3 linked regions of the Caenorhabditis elegans genome follow. The protein of the gene in region 2 interacts with the protein of the main gene of each other region in a pairwise test. Each region holds a gene or a part of one and is shown on either strand. Other genes may lie near its edges. The genes, in order: cpf-2, zfp-3 and Y61A9LA.3.

Region 1 (4,307 bases), on a different chromosome or scaffold from region 2:
ACAATCGCCTGCCGGACAACGCGTGGGAAAGTTGGGTACTCAACTCGGACAGTTACATTTAGTTTTACAACCAAAACCGAGCCGCGGCGCGACACGCAACGCACCGTAAATCTACCCCAGATATGGCCGAGCCAAAATGGCCTAGTTTGGCAAACTCTTCCATTTCAATTTATGAGGAAAGCCAGAAATCCGTGTGTCTTTTTAAAGGCGCACGGATTTTTTTAGATGGGTCTCGGAGCACAAACAAAAATTTATGGTAGTATTTTTTTTAATTTGAAAACTGAGTTAAAACTATTTTAATAGAATTTTTAAAAGAAAAATAAACAAGGACGGAGCCGCAAAAATTCAAAAAAACGAGAAACTTTTAACTATAAACTTTTCTACGCGCGCCGAGACCCATCTGAATAAGTCCGTGCACCTTTAAGAAGGCCTATCAAATTCTAGTGAAACTACTATATTACGGGAACACAAAATTCTGAGAATGCGTATTGCACAACATATTTGACGCGCAAAATATAACTATATCTCGTGAGCGAATTCTTTAAATGATTACTGTGGCGCTGGTGTCGATTTACGGGCTCGATCGATAGTTCGTAATATTTTGTCATTGTTATGTTTTCTTCTAATATTTTATCGATTAATAAGTGATTTCCGTAAATCGACACAAGGACTACAGTAGTCATTTAAAAATTACTGTAGTTTTCGCTTCGAGATATTTTGCGCGTCAAATATGGTGCGCAATACGCATTTTCAGAATTTTCCTTGCATTTTTGGAAGATTTGTTACGGTCTCCAAAACTCGAAGCTGGAAATTTCTTTAAAATTACTGCTTTGCGCCCAATAAGTTTAGTTTGGCAGTGGAGCGCTATTGAATTTCCATTTCGAAAAGAGCACTATTTTCAGTGTGTCGTCAAATCGAAGATCTCGAAGCGATTTATTGAAAATTCAACGGCTGGTCTAAAAAAGGGTTGGAAAACATGTGGAAGAATTATTTGATAAATTTTTTTAAATAGAAAATGTTTCGTTTCAATTAGTTCCAAATACTCCCAAAATAGAAAACTACCAAACATCAGGCATCAGGTATAACTAGTTTATGCGGTGTTTCGAAGTGGAAAAACTAGGCAAAAAATATTTTCAAACTAAAAAAATTATTTGAATTTTGTCATTTCAACTAAATAAAACAAAATAAAATATATACTCTGCATCTCTCGGGAACACTAACACCCCACGTCAACGCTGTTCCCATCAATCAAAATGCGCGAAATTGGCTCATAAATCAAACGGCGAAAAACTAAAAAAAAAAAAAACTGAAAATATTGGCGGAAATGTGAAAAATATAGTCGGAGAGACAAGCTGTTATTCATGAGAAGACATTTTTTTTCGAATTTTAAAGTTTTTCGTAAGAAAAATGAGTAGTACCCGATTTTTAAGAATGTGTAATAATAAAAATTATGCAGAAGATATCATTTTTTGACGAAATACGAAATCTTTGTCAATCAATATGTGTGTCAAACAAGAATCAATGTCAATTTCCGTCTTTTTCCGCGGAAATCGGTCATTTTCGGAGGGTCACTTTGCTTGTGCTGTGACGTCACAAAAAATGTGGGTGGAGCTAGAGGCAACGAATATGCAATGCGGGCGCGCAGTTTTCGCAAGTGTGCGGCACGCGATTTATTTTCGAATAGTTTTTTCTCTGTGCAGTTTCCAACTCCTTAAATGCTTTTATCGATTTATCGACGATTTAATTTATTCATTTTCAATTTCCAGGTTGAAAAATGATGTCCGGGGGATACAAATCATCCGGAGTGGGCAATGATCGATCTCAACGTTCAGTTTTCGGTAGGAAACTGTGAATTTTCGAAAAAAAAACGTAATTTTCGCATTTTTCAGTTGGAAACATTAGCTACGATGTATCCGAAGACACGATTCGCTCCATTTTTTCAAAGGTAATTATTATTTTATTCTTTCCAATTAAAATACTGAAAAAAAGTTTTCAGGCAGGAAATGTGTTGTCGATCAAAATGGTTCACGATCGGGAGACCGGAAAGCCAAAGGGATACGGATTTATTGAATTTCCAGACATTCAAACCGCCGAAGTTGCAATTCGAAACCTTAATGGGTATTAAATATTTGAAAAATAAATTATTTATTCAATAAATGTTCAGTTACGAGCTGAGTGGACGTATTTTGCGAGTCGACAGTGCTGCTGGTGGAATGAATATGGAAGAATTCGGCTCATCGAGTAATGCTCCAGCTCCTGTCGAAGAGAATCCGTATGGTCCAGAGTGTGATGCTGGAAAAGCACCGGAGGTAGCTAAAAATGAGCGAAATTGGCCTGAAATGTCTAAAAAATAACTGAAATTGGCCTGAAATGTCCAAAAATGACTGAAATTGGCCTGAAATGTCTAAAAATGACGAAAATTGGCCAGAAATGTTCAGGAATGACTGAAATTGGCCTGAAAATGACAGAAATTTCCCTGAAATATCCAAAAATGGCCAAAATTCGCCTGAAATGTCCAAAAATGACCGGAATTGGCCTGAAATGTCCAAAATTGACCGAAATTGGCCTGAAATGTTCAACAATGACTGAAATCGGCTCGAAAATGACTGCAATTGGCCTGAAAATGCCCAAAAATGCCCAAAAATGAATGAAAATGACCGAAATTCGCCAGAAATTTCCAAAATGACCTACACTGGTCATTTTTTGTAATTTTCGTACTTTTTTAAAACAATTTTTGGTTCTCTTCGACCAAATTTTAATCATTTTTATTATTTTTTGGCAAACTTCGCTCTTGTTTAGTCATTTTTAAGCTTATTTAGTCATTCTGAACGTATAGTCTCAAAATGAGCTCAATTGTAAGAATTTCGTAATGAATTGTCTCAAATTAAGCTTAAAAATGATGAAAAATAGTCGTATTTGCACAAAAATGAATAGAAAATGCTCAAAAATGACGAAATAGGGCCTAAATATGCATTATCGAGCTCATTTTCTTTCTCAAATCACAAATTTTAGAGAATCTCCCAAACAGTCGCCTCCCTGGCTCCGGAGAAAATGTTCGAACTAATGAAGCAACTGCAAGAATCGCTGAAGAACAATCCATCGGAACTACACAAATTCCTGGTCGAGCATCCACAAATCGCCTACGCGGTGCTCCAAGCCGCCGTTGTCATGCGAATCGTTGATCCACAGACTGCACTTGGACTCCTTCATCGTAATAAGGCCGCCACGCTGACACCATTCCATAATACACCTCAAGGAGCACCGCCAATGGTTCAGCAACAACAGATGCCGATGCCACCGAAGCCAACATTTGCTCATCCTGGCCCATCTATGGGTCCTCCGATGGGACCACCTATGGGTCCACCTATGGGACATCCGCAAGCTCCTCAATACGGTCAAAATTACGGGCAACCAGTGGCTCCACAGCAGTACAAGCCACCGCCACAGCAGCAGCCACCAGTTCAGATGAGACCTCCAGTTCAGCAGCCACAACAAAATCATCAAGAAGAGCAGCAAAATGCGGAGCTTCTGATGCAAGTCATGCAGCTCAGCGAGCACGATCTTCAGATGCTTCCTGCTGGGGATCGTGAGAAGATAATAGAGCTGAGACAGCAGTTGAAGAGAAATGTCAAGTAAATATGGATCTCGTCTCTCGAGTATTTGTGCTTTTAATTCTAATTTTTCCGTTTTGTAACTATCGATTTCATGAAGATCACATTTTTAAATTCAACATTTGGTTTATTGCAACAAAATTAAATGAAAATTCAATCTTCTTCCATCGGCTCTTGGTCGGAGAATCTTTTATGCCAAACCACCATCTCAACCTCGTTATCGTTAATGATCACAGAAGCGAGAAGACCATCGGCTCGTTCAAAATCCATCGCTTTCTCGCAGTTTAATGATTGGAATGGTTCTTCTTTTCTGAAACAGAATTTAATTTGCAACTTTCAGGAAACTTTTGAAAACTTACGGGAAAATTTTCTGCCGTTGTTCGTGGTTCCATGGTTTCACATCGAGACCTTCCAGAATTTGCCCTGGAACTCTTCCATCAATCTCTTTCGAATGAACAATCAAATTTTCCAATTTCGCATTTGATCCTCGGGTCCAATCTCTGAGAATAGTATTCACGTCTTGAACAGTGAAGTTTAAGCAATAAAGAGAAACACGATTTGCCTCCAATGCTCGAAAATGCTCCGCTCTGAACCATGAACAGCCACTGAGTTCAAGGTGTTCCAGATCTTTGAAGTTTTCCAAATTTCCATTCATCGTAGAGATTAGGTTCATCGAAATGCCCTCACATTGTTGTA
Region 2 (8,079 bases):
AAAAAAAACAATATATTACGGGTTGGAAAAAGAACTAATGGGGGGGGGGGTCAGAAATGTGACTAGAAATGTGGAAAATGCAATTTAATTTAATTTTTTTTTCTTCCGCCACTAAGCTTGGCTCATCTCATCGTGATCCGCTTGCTGATCAAAGCGAGAGCGGAACGTCCGGCGAGGTGGCTGCTCGTCAAATCGATTTCTCCTCGGTGGCCGTTGATCCATATCCTGGCCTGGAGCATCATCTTCTCCCTGTCTATCAAACCTACTGACACGGGCTCTCTTAGTCGGAACGGGATCCTGATACTGGGATCCATGTGCATTTGGGGATCCTAGATGACCGCCATCATCATTGTACGCTGGCTTCTGGTCGAATCTCGAGTTGTTCCGAGGAGCAAAGCCTCCACGAGCATATCGTGCTCCACGGAATCCTTCAGTGTCGCCAAATCGGCCACGGTTTCCGCCTGCATTGTCTCTAAAGTCGCGGTCGTGGTGGTTGTTGTAGTTGTTGCGATTGTTGTAGCCTCCACGGAATCCGCGGCCTCGGCCACCTCGGAAGTTGTCGTGGTGATGATTTGGACCGCGTGGTGGGAGCTCTGCCATCTTTTGACGTCTCTGAAAAAGAAATAAGTAAGAATGGAAAAAAAATAGCTTCAAACTGCCACTTACCATCTCCTCGTCATGAATAAATCTGCACTGATCTCCCCGATTACATCCACCCGGGCGGCTGATAAAGTAGACACATGGCTCTGGAATCTTCCAGCCGGATTGAGTCCATCCTTCCGAGTTGCGAGAGTCCTGGCGACGCTCCTGAGCCATCATCTCTGGAGTTGCAAATGTTGCCTGAAATTTTAGACTGTTGCTAATGTATAAATAAGGAGGACTTGGACCAGCGTCGTGTAAAAGTGGGCCGATACCGGGCCTGTCCCGTTTTTGAAGTAAGCTTCCATGGGCCCACACATTTTTAAAGCGGGTCGGACCATTTCAAGCAATTCCAGCCCGTTTTTAAAAGCGAAAAAAACTCACGACATATCCATCCATTGGATAATCTTGCGGCACTTCTTCACTTGCATACGTGTTCCCCTGCTGGAGCATCATCTGCTGAGCAGTCTGCATTGCAGCCGCCAGTGGATCAACCGGCGGTGGAGCTGAAGTCGTCGGCGAAGGAGTCTCATCCGACGAGACGAACCCCTTCTTCTTGAGCTGGTTGAGCATCTCCTTGAGGTTCGATGGAAGCTCGAATCTGCTGGCAGGCTGGGCTGCTGGAGCTGGCTCCGGGGTCTCCGGGACAGAGGTGGTGGCCGTGTAGTAGTTGGTGACCGGTTCCGTTTCCTGGAACACTTGCTGGATGTGTGGAGTCGGCGTCTGGTGGGCTGATTGCTGCTGCTGCTGCTGTGCGTACATCGGACGTCGAGGGTTCTCCGGGCGTTGGCTATGGTAGAGTGGCAACGTGTGGAATCCCTGGTTCGGCTTGACCTGAAGCAGCAAATCTTGTGGACGAACACGTGGCGGACGGCCCGGAAGTGGCAAATCGCGGATAGTGGCGAGAGTGGTGGGCTCCGATGGAACACTGACGGTTGGGATGATGGTCGGCGTGTAGTTGGCACGGTCGACAGCTGCCTGCTCGTTAAGCGCTGGGTTGTCCTCGAGTTGGCACATTCTGGAAACGCAAAAAATTTAAAAAATTTTTATTACAGGTCAATATATGCCTAAAAACTTACCCAAACATGGCCCCTCTCATAATTCCTTCCTCTTCGATACGTCTTTCTTCCCGTAGGCCCGACTCTGACATTTCACTGCGCGCCGGTTTGGACCGCTTCACCGGCACCAGCGACCACTCGACATCCTCAAAAACTTCCATCTCCTGGCCAAACGCGGCGGCCTCATTTCGCTCCGAACACCGATAGTCGGCAACATTCGAGTGGACTGAAAGAAGAGGCGCATTAGTTTTAGTGGTAGGCTCTAGTGGCGGCGTACTTGCTGCAATACGTTCAATTTCCTTAACATGCACCAGTGGAAGACCTCGCGTGTCGGCGAAGATGAGGCGACGGGTGCCACGCTGATTGAGGTTGGAGATAGCTGGACCACGGAGAATTCCACGGTTTGGCTTCTGAAAATACTTGAGGGCGATTAGTAATAGTTTTTGCTTGTTTTCAAGAAAGTAGCTGGATCAGAGCTTGCTTGTTCTAAAAAGCCATAATTTTGGGCTCGAAATTCATTTGTAGAATTTTTTTTCCGAACTGTCCAGTACCATGGACGAATTGGCGCGCAATTACACTCAATTTTAAAAGGTAAATTTTCCAAAATTCTAACACCGCCTCATTGAAGCAAATGCGCTCTACCGAAACTGAGCAAGTTTGGTTGTCAAATTCCCGTTGAACGATTTCTCAAAGAGCGGGATCAGAGCACGCTTGCTCCAATAAACCATAAATTTTGAGCTCGAAATTCATTTGTAGAATTTTTGCCCGAACTGTCCAGTACCAAGGCACACAACTCTGCTCAATTTTAAAAGATAAAATTTCAATTTTCCTAGCAGTCGGCGTTTCCAACAGTCTAGCACAGTCTCATTGAAAAAATGCAGATGCGCTCTACCGCCACAAAGCAATTTTAGTTGTCAAATTCCTTTTTTAACCTACCAATTTCAGTGCGGCAAGTCCCGCATCCTCTCCATCATCTGTGGCGTGTCGTTTTCCTGAATAAATCGCCGTCGGCACCGCTGCTGCTGCGGCAACTGCTTCCGGCTTCGGTTTTCGCTTCACAATCCGGATTCCTGGGTTGGATGGCGAGTAGGAGACTGAGCCTGAAAATATTGATTGGTATTATTGAGATTTTCTGGAATTTTGAAAAAAAAAATTAAAGTATTCAAACAAACTTGGCATCAAGACTGAAATGTGCTCTTTCTGAAACGGTATGGGTACGGGGCAGGGGAGACGGGGAAATGGGAACAATTTTGTAAAAGTTTTGAGGCGTTTTAAGGGGTTCCCATTCAAATTGCAAGAAAAAAATCAATAGCGCTAGATTACGTCACCTAGAAATTCCACGTGTTGAAACATCCGTCGAGGTATAAAATTGTCATTTTTTCGAGTTTATGAGCGTCTTTTATTCCGTGTTTTGAATTTTTATCCAAAAATTTTTATAGTCCAAACTTTTTCGCGGCAATCTTTTTATTGATTTCCTTATCAATTTTTTAAAGTAGCATCGTTTTTTTTCCAAAAAATTCCAATTTGTGCGCAATAACTCACAAGGCATATTCCACGGTTTATTCCAAAAATAGAGCGTACTTGTTCATTATTGTGAATTTAAGTTTTGGCCTACAAGGGGATACCAATAGGAAAATTATCTCACCGAGTTTTGCAATTTATCGATTTTTAAAAAATGTTTTGAGTAAAAACAAAAGAATCGTCGTAAAATTTAATACAAAAATTGACAACTGAAACGGCTCTTCATCGGAAACCTCGAAACATTTCAATTTGCAAGCAATTTTCTCTAAAACATTTCTACTAGTAGTAAGTACAGAAATCAGATTTTTGGGAGATCAAAATTTCAAGATTACAACGTTTTAAGCCACTACAAATTTGGAAAAGTCACATTTCTTTGCGAAAAATAAGTAAGTGTTCTTCAGAATTCATAACGCCTAACCTATCCGACTATTACAAAAATTCAGACCATAAATATTAATTTTTTACATTTTCTCAATCGCTGAGCATTCTAGACATTTTCAAAATTCTAGACATCCTTCAAAAATGATCTACTCAAACTTTTCTTTCAAATTCCCAATCAAAAATGTTCAATTTATCGATTTCCGCATTCAAAAACGTCCACGGGCGGCAATTTTTCCAAAATTTCAGCCCGTGCACTTCTGATGATTTTTCTGGAATTTCATATATCTTTCATATATATCTTCTCCGCCATTTTGCTCGGCTCTGCAAACGAAACCACTGTAGAATATTCCATATGAAGCTGAGAGCATCTGCAAAAAAACTCCGGACGCACAAAAAAATAGAAAAAAAGAAGAAATCAGAAACATAGAAAAAACATGGAGAACAACTTATTGGGGAGTCTGAAAAGTGATGGGGATTCACAATTGAGAAGAGGCTTCCATAAGAGTGACCATAGTTCCCGGGTATCCATAGTCTTTTTTTAATAATAAATCTCGGTTTTTGTCCGCTTTTAAAATTACATTTTCCCATTTTTCCAAGACCTTTCAAAATTTTGCTAAAGTTCTGGAGAGTTCTATAATTCATTAAAATGTGAATAGTCGTATCTACGCTACATAGAAATAGGGGCTGGGAAAGTGGGAATCGGCGGGTGGGAAGAGCACATCTCCATCTCATTCCCAAGTGTCGGAGCTTCCATGTACCTGAAATGTGATGTTAGGATACAAATTCTAAAGAGTTTTCCACCTACCTCCATATTTCTGCCGCGTTGTCTGATCCTCGGGCTTCACTGGAGTCGTCTTCGATGTGGATGGCGCGGTGAGTGGTGTCGGTACGTAGACTGCTGAAAATTTGAAATTTAAAATTGAATTTGAACTGCCTATTGGAAATTATTAGAATATATTCAAGGAAGATTCAAATTTTCTTGTATTTTTAGAGTATTTTTTATCTAGAATATCTGGAATCTAGCAGTTTCTTGAAAAAATATCCACCGAGAAAAATGTCGGAACGTAAGAAATATGTCCAGAAGTATAACAATTGTTCAAAAAATTCAAAAGCTATCAGATACATGGAACAAAATTTGCCAGATTGATTCCGGTCTACTCAAAAACTCGGTCAACTTCCAGAACTTACCCGTACTTGCCAAAAAAGCTCCAGTGAGTGAGCAAAAGTCTGCAGCTCTTACTGAAGATATAGAACTTCCCTAAAAATGCCAGAAATCTGCAGAAAGTTAACAGAAAGTATTCAAAAGCCTTCCACATTTTCTTCAAATCCCATAATTTTTCTAGACTTTTCCAAACTTCTAGAAATGTTTTCGAAAACTGTACAACCCTTCAGAACTTGGCACAACTTGCCAGATATTTTCCATGCATTCTTATGTCTTTGTGAACTTTGAATGAATTTGCCGTAATCTTGCCCGATCATCACAAAACTTCCAAAATTCTCCAAAAGACCTCAGATCTGTTCAGGACATTTCTGAAATATTAAAAGTAGTCGCAAGTTTCAATCTAGTTTCAAAAAGCACCATAGACCCCCAAAGTTTAAAACGAAAAATTCCAGCTGTACTAAAATAGTCGGATTCAATTTTTCCAGCATTCTACTAGAGGATAGAAAAAAAAATAGGCCACAGCTTCAGCATAGTCAGCAAGTTGTTCGAAATCAGGCCGTTATCACTTTGTAATAATTGTTTCCCTATCCCTTTTTCTCGCGGAACCAGGACACATCTTATCTTCTCTATAGAAAATACGTAGTCACTGTTCTCAACTTGAAATTAGGCCCAAAGAGGGAAAAAGAGAAGAGCGAGAGCCTATCCTAAATGACTTAAGCTTCTGAGCCTTGAAGTGAAAGCCTAATAATCCAAGAAACATAGCTGGTTCCTGCTAGGTAGAAGCTTGAAGTTTTCCTGCTGGTCCCATATAGCCAAAGTTGAAGTCCAAGTCCAAGTATCTTGACTTCTGGATTCTACTGCTCTCAGCACGTCAGAGGTGCTCCAAGATGCCGAGGGCACTTCAGAACCTGAAAATTCGTGTCCAAAGCCCGGTCATCCCTTTCTGGGTATCCGACCACATCTGGGGCATTTCTGTTCCTCACATTATTTTCCTTCATATTGTGCGGTTAAAACAGAACTCTTTATTTCAATTGTCTCTCTGAAAACGGTTTTTTCTTTTTCGCCAACCCGGAACTGTGTCACAAAGAAAAATGAAAGTGCTTGATATCAAGATTCGAGATCGAAGAAATAGGATGAAGTGGAGAAGAAAATAAGGAACTTGCAAATTAGAATTCAAATTCAAAAATAGTAGAATTCCGATGACTTACCCGGAGAGTCGATGGAGGTGTTCGGGGATCCCACTGCTGGCAGGAAGGCGCCGTCCATTGTCTTGGTCGGGGTGTAGACGTCGGCCATTGGAGACGGTGTTGGTGCGGAGTTGAGCTGCTGGCGGCTTCTGCTGCTTCTGCTTTGTGTAGATTTTCTGGAAATTTTGTAAGAGTTTAATTTGAAGAGAATATTAGTGAATTTAAAAAAAAAAGAGGAAAAATCAAAGAAAATTTTAATTTTAAAAAGTTGAGGGAAACTAGAAGAAAACCAGGAGAAAAAACTCGCCAAAATCAGCCTAATACATTTTCGAAACGCGCAATGTGTGCGGGAGAGTGTTTGTGTGAGCGTGCGTTTCCCTATCGATCGTAGACACAAGAGACCCCCGGCAGTCAAATAGTGAGGAAATATCCCGAGCAGGCAGCCAGAGAGTGGTTAGAGATCGCCCGCAGTCGACGAGAGAGTGCAGGTGGCGAGGGAAAAGAGGCACGAGACGACGAGAGCGTGTATCATGTGGGCTGTCGAATGCGACCACTTGGGTCCCTCACCGATGTCTGCATACACACTGACGACAAGTTGCGGAGCGTGTTTTTTGGAGAATAATGGTTAAATGCATATTGGATATTGATGGAAGTTCATGAATTTTGTGAGTTTTTAAAATTTCAAAGCAATTTTTTTTTTGAATTTGAAGCTCAGCCAACCAAAAACTTATATTTTGAGAAAAGTTTTCAATCGAAAGACCATTCCAGAACAGTTTCACCAGAACAGATTCTAACGACTTTTCATGCAATACTAAAAACTAAAAAAGTTGATAAAAGTTTGTCGATGCACCATGATTTTTGCAATTGCTTCAGGAATTTTCAAATGAAACATAAATTTTTACAGATTCCTTTTTGGCTGGGAGCAGATTGTCAAAAAATCGATAAGACTACAGAAAATCAGTGGAGTTCAGGAAAAATAATTGGTTTTTGAAAATTATTTCTAGCTACATATAAGGGAAAGTATTCGACAGACAGGCTACCCGTAAAGACATAAAGCAGGAGTTAAATGGAATTGTGAGGAAAATTGTCAAACGTGCCAATTTGTTGAAAATCACAGAAATCGATGCACTATGATGTTAGCTTACAGAAACTTGAACCGAGTTTACATGAATTTTTTGGTGAAACAGAAATTTTTTCACTATCCTAGTCAACTGGAAGAATACTGTCGTTTTGAATAAATCATTTAAAAATGCCGTTTGAAAATAATCGAATCCAGACAAAAGTCTTCGATTTTGAGCATTTCTCACAAAAAAGTCCATTTTAGAGATTCTATGAATTAGGTTTACTATTTTGAAATTCACAAACTTTGATGAACCATGATGTTTGCTCTTAAATACGTGGACTAGTTTGTCAGAATCGTTTTACAGAAGGAACCTCTCGGATAAAAGAAAATTGTCAAGATAACGTGGAAGTTGCAGGGAACTACCAGATGTCAGGGAAAATTATTTTGAAGGGACTCAATTGACAATTAGTGCATGAAGGCAGACAATACAGGACTCGAATGATACTTTAAGAGAAATTAAAAAAATGTCGATGCACCATGATGCTAGCTTCCACAAATTTGAACCGCGTTTAACAGAAATTTTTGCAATTTGCTTGCCGGATAAAAGAAGATGAAAAACTTCTAGAAACGCCTGAAAACACTTAAATTGGAATCAAAATCCTGGAATTTTCGAACATTTTTCACAAAAAATCATTTCTTTGGCAATATCCTAGAATAATTTTCTGGAAATTAAGTGATTTAATAACCAATTTTTGATATAAAATTATTTATTTAGAGAAACTTTTCTTCTTTAGTAGCAGTTTTGTATGTAATCTTAAAAAAATGACAGTGAACAGTTGTAAATGAGCAATTCTAAACTGAACGTTCTAGTGTTCAGCATTAAAATTAAAACTTTAGCGTGAAATTTTGATATCCTACAAAAGTTTGCTACTTGTAAAAAAAAAATATAATTTCGATTTAAATTTAAGAGATACTGTCAAAAGCGTCTTAATTTTTTAAATCACAAACCGATGCACCATAAGCTCATTCAACGGGAATTTGTACAGATTTCTTTTTGTCTGGAAGAAA
Region 3 (4,972 bases), on a different chromosome or scaffold from region 2:
TTCAAAATTCAACTTTTTGTGCGAAAATCTCGACTTTTTCACCAAAAAAGTTGAATTGTGGAAACCTCAAAACTTTTTCAGCGGTCTCGTTATGAAAATCAGGTAGTTTCAGCATCTAAACAGCATATGTATAATGTTTCAGAAAAAGTTTAGGTTTTGTATTCCCGTAATCCATCATTTTACATTGACCACTTTCACCGCTGCTTGCCGACTGAATACATAATTTTTTGACTTGGAAATTGTTTTAGCATCTGCAAAAAATATTTGGTTTAATTACCCAAGTTTGAGTTTGAGGTACGCCGGTCAACTGCTGCAGGTCATTGGTCATGTCGGAACCACCTCCTCCTCATTCCGCCCCAGTGCCTATGGTGAAGACGGATTTCTTCGCTTTCTCTGGTCCTTATCTCCCGGAGGACGCTCACGGTACGAGTTCTCCGCCGGAGAAACAACAGCAAACCCGGAAGCGCGGTCGCCCGACCGCTCTTGAATTGCTCACTACCCGTGTTGAAGAATTGGAAAAGGAAAATTCGAGCTTGAGAACCTTCCGTACCGCCGCTGAAAGCAGATGTCGTGCCCTGGAGAGCAAACAATCGGAACTCTTCCAAACCGTCGAGCAGCTCAAGGTAGTTGTTGCCAAGCTCACGAACGAATGCTCTGCCCGTGTTACCTCCAATTTGCCCGCTCCACGCCTGTTCGCCGATGTTCTCAAGGGACAATCAGCCGAGAAGAAAGCAGAGATCATTGCAGAAAGACGTGAAGCAGCAGCCAGCATTTCCCTGTTTGAGAAGAAGACTCATTTCGCCGTGATTGAAAATCTACCGGATGATGGCTCGGATTCACAATCCGCCAAGGATAAGGTTTTTCTCGATAATTTAATTGCCGCTAATCCCTCCCTCCCTGTACATATTCAAACTTTCCGCGTCAAAACTCGCAAACCAGTCTTATCCCGCCCAACAAAAATTCGTTTCTCTTCTGAAGCCGACCGCAATTCGTTCATTTTCTCTTTCTCCAAAACTCTCCGTTCGTTGCCTGATCGCCCCACTAACCTTCCAAGACCCATCCGCTGCAGACGCGATATGACCAACGATGTTATCTATCCTGAGAGAGTTGAGAGCTGACGCTTATAACAGAAATACCCAAGCTGGCGAGATTCGTTATTATGTGCGCGACCTTAAGATTGTGACTCTCTCGTCACCGCGTCCACTTCCTATCTCTGTTGATTCGGCTGCTCCCGTTGCTAACGCATAGGTAAACGGCCACCGGGCTTTATTATCGTCTTGTCCGTCCATTGCTTCTCAAAGTGTGTCTTTCAAAGGTGTAATTTATCGTACGCGTCATACAGTAGCAGGCTTTCCCAATTTAATTTATTGTCTACCCACCATAGACGGGTTCTTCAAATCCTCCGAACCTTCCATAAAATTATTTCAAGCGAGTATCACTTCCCGTCCTTATCATCGTTCGTTCGAGCTTCACGCTCTACTCGTCACCCCTATCTACTTGTTGTCTGTGGCGTCCCGTCTAAATGTTTTCTACATGTTAACTTGTCGTTGTGGAACCGAATAGCAAAACGTTTCCCTAAACTGTTAACTCCAAATGCATTTGCGTCGCGCCTAGGCTCTATCCCATTTGACACCCTCTTCCCCCCAACTTGACCTCCCGGGCTATAGCTGGTCCAATTGGTCATTTTATTTATCTGTCCACACATCTTTTTTATTTTACTTTTTTTCTTTGTCTTCCGGTGTAGCTATTTCTTGTGGCAAATAAACAATTATTATTACTTTTCCGAATTTTTGAATCGCCATCACTTTTTTGAGAAATTTTCGGCAGTTTCGGGCCATTTTGGGTCCAGTCTAAAAACGTACCACTGATAACTTGAATTTCTGGAGATGCAGACCGACTTCTCGCGATTTCCATTTCTCCGCCAATGTGCTCAAAGTCTAGTCTCGGCTGAAACTATTTAATTCGTGAATTTTCATCAAAATCCGAAAAAAAAGTCTAAAAACCAGAAAAACCACATCGCAACCAATCAGCGATTCGCTCCGCCCATCCTTCAACCAATCAGATTGAGTGGGCGGAGTTCGAAGTCGTTGATTGGTCGGGGAATTCTCGTTTTGAAGTCAATTCTCAAAATGAGGATTCCCCGACTTCGAACTCCGCCCACTCCATCTGATTGGTTCAAAGATGGGCGGAGCGAATCGCTGATTGGTCGGGGAGTTTTGGAGGGAATTTCAGCGAAAATTGAGTTTTTAAGTTGGATTTTTTGAACTTTTCGACTCAAAATCGCGCTCCTTACATGTCTGAGCAACGGCTGTCTCCCTTCATTTCTTCCCATCGTCGTCAAATCCTCTCCAAACGGCCCCTTATCGAAACCACGTCTTCTCGAATTATCCACTACGGGTCCATTATAGGTGTCCACCACCGGCTGAAATCCGTGATACGGATCACTTCCTCCAAGAATTGCAGCTCTCATAGAAGGAACCGGCGGGCCAGGACGTCTATCGAAATCGCCACGTCTAGCATCACTGAAAAAATATAAAAAAATGAGTTTTATTTTTTTTTCCCGGAAAATCCGGATTTTTTCATCCTCAGAGGTGAGGTACCGAAATTTGAGACTTTGCTTTTTAGACCCAAAATGGTCCAAAACTACCGAATTTCGTAATGAGACGTTCTGAAAATATTTCAAAAAAAAAGTTATGACCGCTCGAAAATTTTGGAAAAAATGGCCAATTTTTAGCTAAAATCTCAAATTTTTTCCAACTTCTCGGTGTTGCAGCGGTTAGAACTTAATTATTATTTTTTTATCACTTTTTAATAAATATTGTGGTCTTTGATTAGGCGTTTATTCGTTGATTTAAGTACATTTATGGTCAGTGGGGCACAAAATTTAACTTTTATTTGTGCCCCACTGACCATAAATGTACTAATCAATGAATAAACGCCCAATCAAAGACCACAATATTTATTTAAAAGTGATAAAAAAAATAATAATTAAGTTCTAACCGCTGCGACACCGAGAAGTTGGAAAAAATTTGAAAAAAAAACGGCTCACATTGGAATATGCGGAGGAATTATCCGATTTGGAACATGTTCGTACGACGAATGTCGCATGTCTCTAGCTGGAAAAAAAAACCGGAAATTCGTGGACAAGAACGGATTTGAGGAGGAAAAACGAGGGGAGACGCAGACAGAAATGCACGCAGCCACAGAAAATCGATAGTTTTCCACGAAATCAGTCTAGAAATATTTGGAAAAAAATTATTTCAAGGATGGAAATTGCTGGTAAAACTGTGAAAGTGCTTCAAAAATCGATTGAAAATGAAAAAAAATCTAAATATTAAATTTCATTAAATTCTCTCAATTTCTAGTTGTTTTTGGTGATTAAATGAACAAAATATGCATTTTTTCGGCAAAAAAAATCCGAAAATCTGAAATTTTAAGCTCGAAAACCTAAGAAACTCTCTGAAAATCGATAAAAACAAGAAATCATAAATTTCAATCTATTTTCAGTTATTTTTGGTGATTAAATAAACCAAATACACATTTTTCCGGCAAAAAACCCTGAAATCCTCTGAAAATCGATTAAAACTTAAAAAAAAATGAAGCGTCCGTAAAAATAAAGAAAAATCATAAATTCCAGCGATTTTCTTAATTTCTAGTTATTTATAATGATTAATTGAACAAAATAGGCATTTTTCGACAAAAAACCCTTAAAATCTTCAATTTTAACACAGAAAACCTGAGAAATCCTCTGCAAATCGATTAAAAAACACAAAAACCTTTTATGCAAAAATCTGCATTTTGTCGTCACAGTGTGTGCATACTTTACACCGAATCTTACGACAAATAATTGTCGCTGCTGGCATTGTGAGAGAGAAAGGGATACACGTGATTTTCGTATAATTCCGATTCGTTTTCCCTGAATTTTTCTAATTAATTTATTGAATTATTTTAAATTATTGATTTTCTGTCAATTTTCACACAAAAATTGCCGCTGATTTATTCAAAGTGTCGGTTTTTATCCCGTTATTTGAATATTTTCGAAAAACCAGATTATTTGTGGTTTTAGTGATTTTTAGTGAACTTCCGGAAGTTTCTTGAGCCAATATAACTTTGAAATCAGTTTTTAAAGCTTACTATGACATTATTATCTTAAAAATTGGAACAAAAATTGTGATATTTAGCTTATTGATTTTTTTTTGGTTTTCAGATATAATCTGTTCGAAATGAATACTCAAACAGGGACAGGAACCTCAGAAGTGTCGAAAAAACTAAAGGTAACGTTAAATAAGTTAATAAATTTCAAAAATCGCAAAAATTAATAATTTTTTAATTCAGGCCGCGATTCGAGCCAAACTTGAAGAGCTCGGCGTCTACGTGGACGATGAATTACCCGATTATATTATGGTAATGATTGCGAATAAGAAGGAAAAAGTGCAGATGAAGGACGATCTCAACTTATTTATCGGAAAAAGCACTGCGAAATTCGTCGACTGGCTTTTTGATCTGTTCGATCGCCTACAAAACGCTTCGAACAAGCAAGGAGAGACTAGTAAAAAGGAGGAGGATAAGAGAAAAGAGCTGGAAGCAACAGCAGCAGCAAAGGAGCATGAAGAGAAACGAAGAAAAGAGAAGGAAGAGCATGAGAAAGAACTGTAAGTGCCGAGCGAAGGAATAAGAAATAATTAAAAATTGAAAATTTCAAAAATTCCAGGCAAAAAGAAAAAGAACGTGAGAAGGAGCGTCAACGAGAACGTGATCGTGAAAAGCGGGCCGAAGAGGAGAAGCGTCGTGAGGAGAAGAGAAAAGAGATTCAGAGGTAGTTTTCTGATAGAACACAGAATATTTCGGGATCACAAAATTCTGAGAATGCGTATTGCGCAGCATATTTGACGCGCAAAATATCTCGTAGCGAAAACTACAGTACTCTCTCTCTCTTTAAAGGAGGACTAACGGTTCGGACTCAAAATGAGCT

Evidence for each region.
Region 1: the proteins of zfp-3 (region 2) and cpf-2 interact in a two-hybrid assay, tested with the Caenorhabditis elegans proteins (2 studies listed by BioGRID).
Region 3: the proteins of zfp-3 (region 2) and Y61A9LA.3 interact in a two-hybrid assay, tested with the Caenorhabditis elegans proteins (one study listed by BioGRID).

The regions. Positions count from the first base shown.
Region 1 is NC_003281.10:13,266,343-13,270,649, reverse strand, and holds cpf-2 (RRM domain-containing protein), read left to right. Parts: upstream 1-1,766; 5' UTR 1,767-1,774; coding exon 1,775-1,838; intron 1,839-1,889; coding exon 1,890-1,945; intron 1,946-1,996; coding exon 1,997-2,118; intron 2,119-2,164; coding exon 2,165-2,309; intron 2,310-3,012; coding exon 3,013-3,636; 3' UTR 3,637-3,718; downstream 3,719-4,307. Other genes in the region: F56A8.5 (F-box domain-containing protein), read right to left, coding at 3,765-3,921, 3,971-4,307.
Region 2 is NC_003284.9:1,440,520-1,448,598, forward strand, and holds the start of zfp-3 (C3H1-type domain-containing protein), read right to left. Parts: upstream 6,125-8,079; 5' UTR 6,058-6,124; coding exon 5,970-6,057; coding exon of another isoform or gene 5,941-5,969; intron 4,498-5,940; coding exon 4,405-4,497; intron 4,358-4,404; coding exon of another isoform or gene 3,888-4,357; exon of another isoform or gene 2,877-3,887; coding exon of another isoform or gene 2,870-2,876; exon of another isoform or gene 2,798-2,869; coding exon 2,634-2,797; intron 2,117-2,633; coding exon 1,975-2,116; intron 1,924-1,974; coding exon 1,719-1,923; intron 1,658-1,718; coding exon 1,024-1,657; intron 841-1,023; coding exon 667-840; intron 613-666; coding exon 112-612; 3' UTR 1-111.
Region 3 is NC_003283.11:4,569,279-4,574,250, reverse strand, and holds the start of Y61A9LA.3 (C2H2-type domain-containing protein), read right to left. Parts: upstream 3,117-4,972; 5' UTR 3,109-3,116; coding exon 3,050-3,108; intron 2,523-3,049; coding exon 2,294-2,522; intron 1,954-2,293; coding exon 1,863-1,953; intron 1,119-1,862; coding exon of another isoform or gene 327-1,118; intron 1-326. Other genes in the region: hpo-39 (uncharacterized protein), read left to right, coding at 327-1,118; sut-2 (Zinc finger CCCH domain-containing protein 14), read left to right, coding at 4,224-4,274, 4,336-4,652, 4,712-4,816.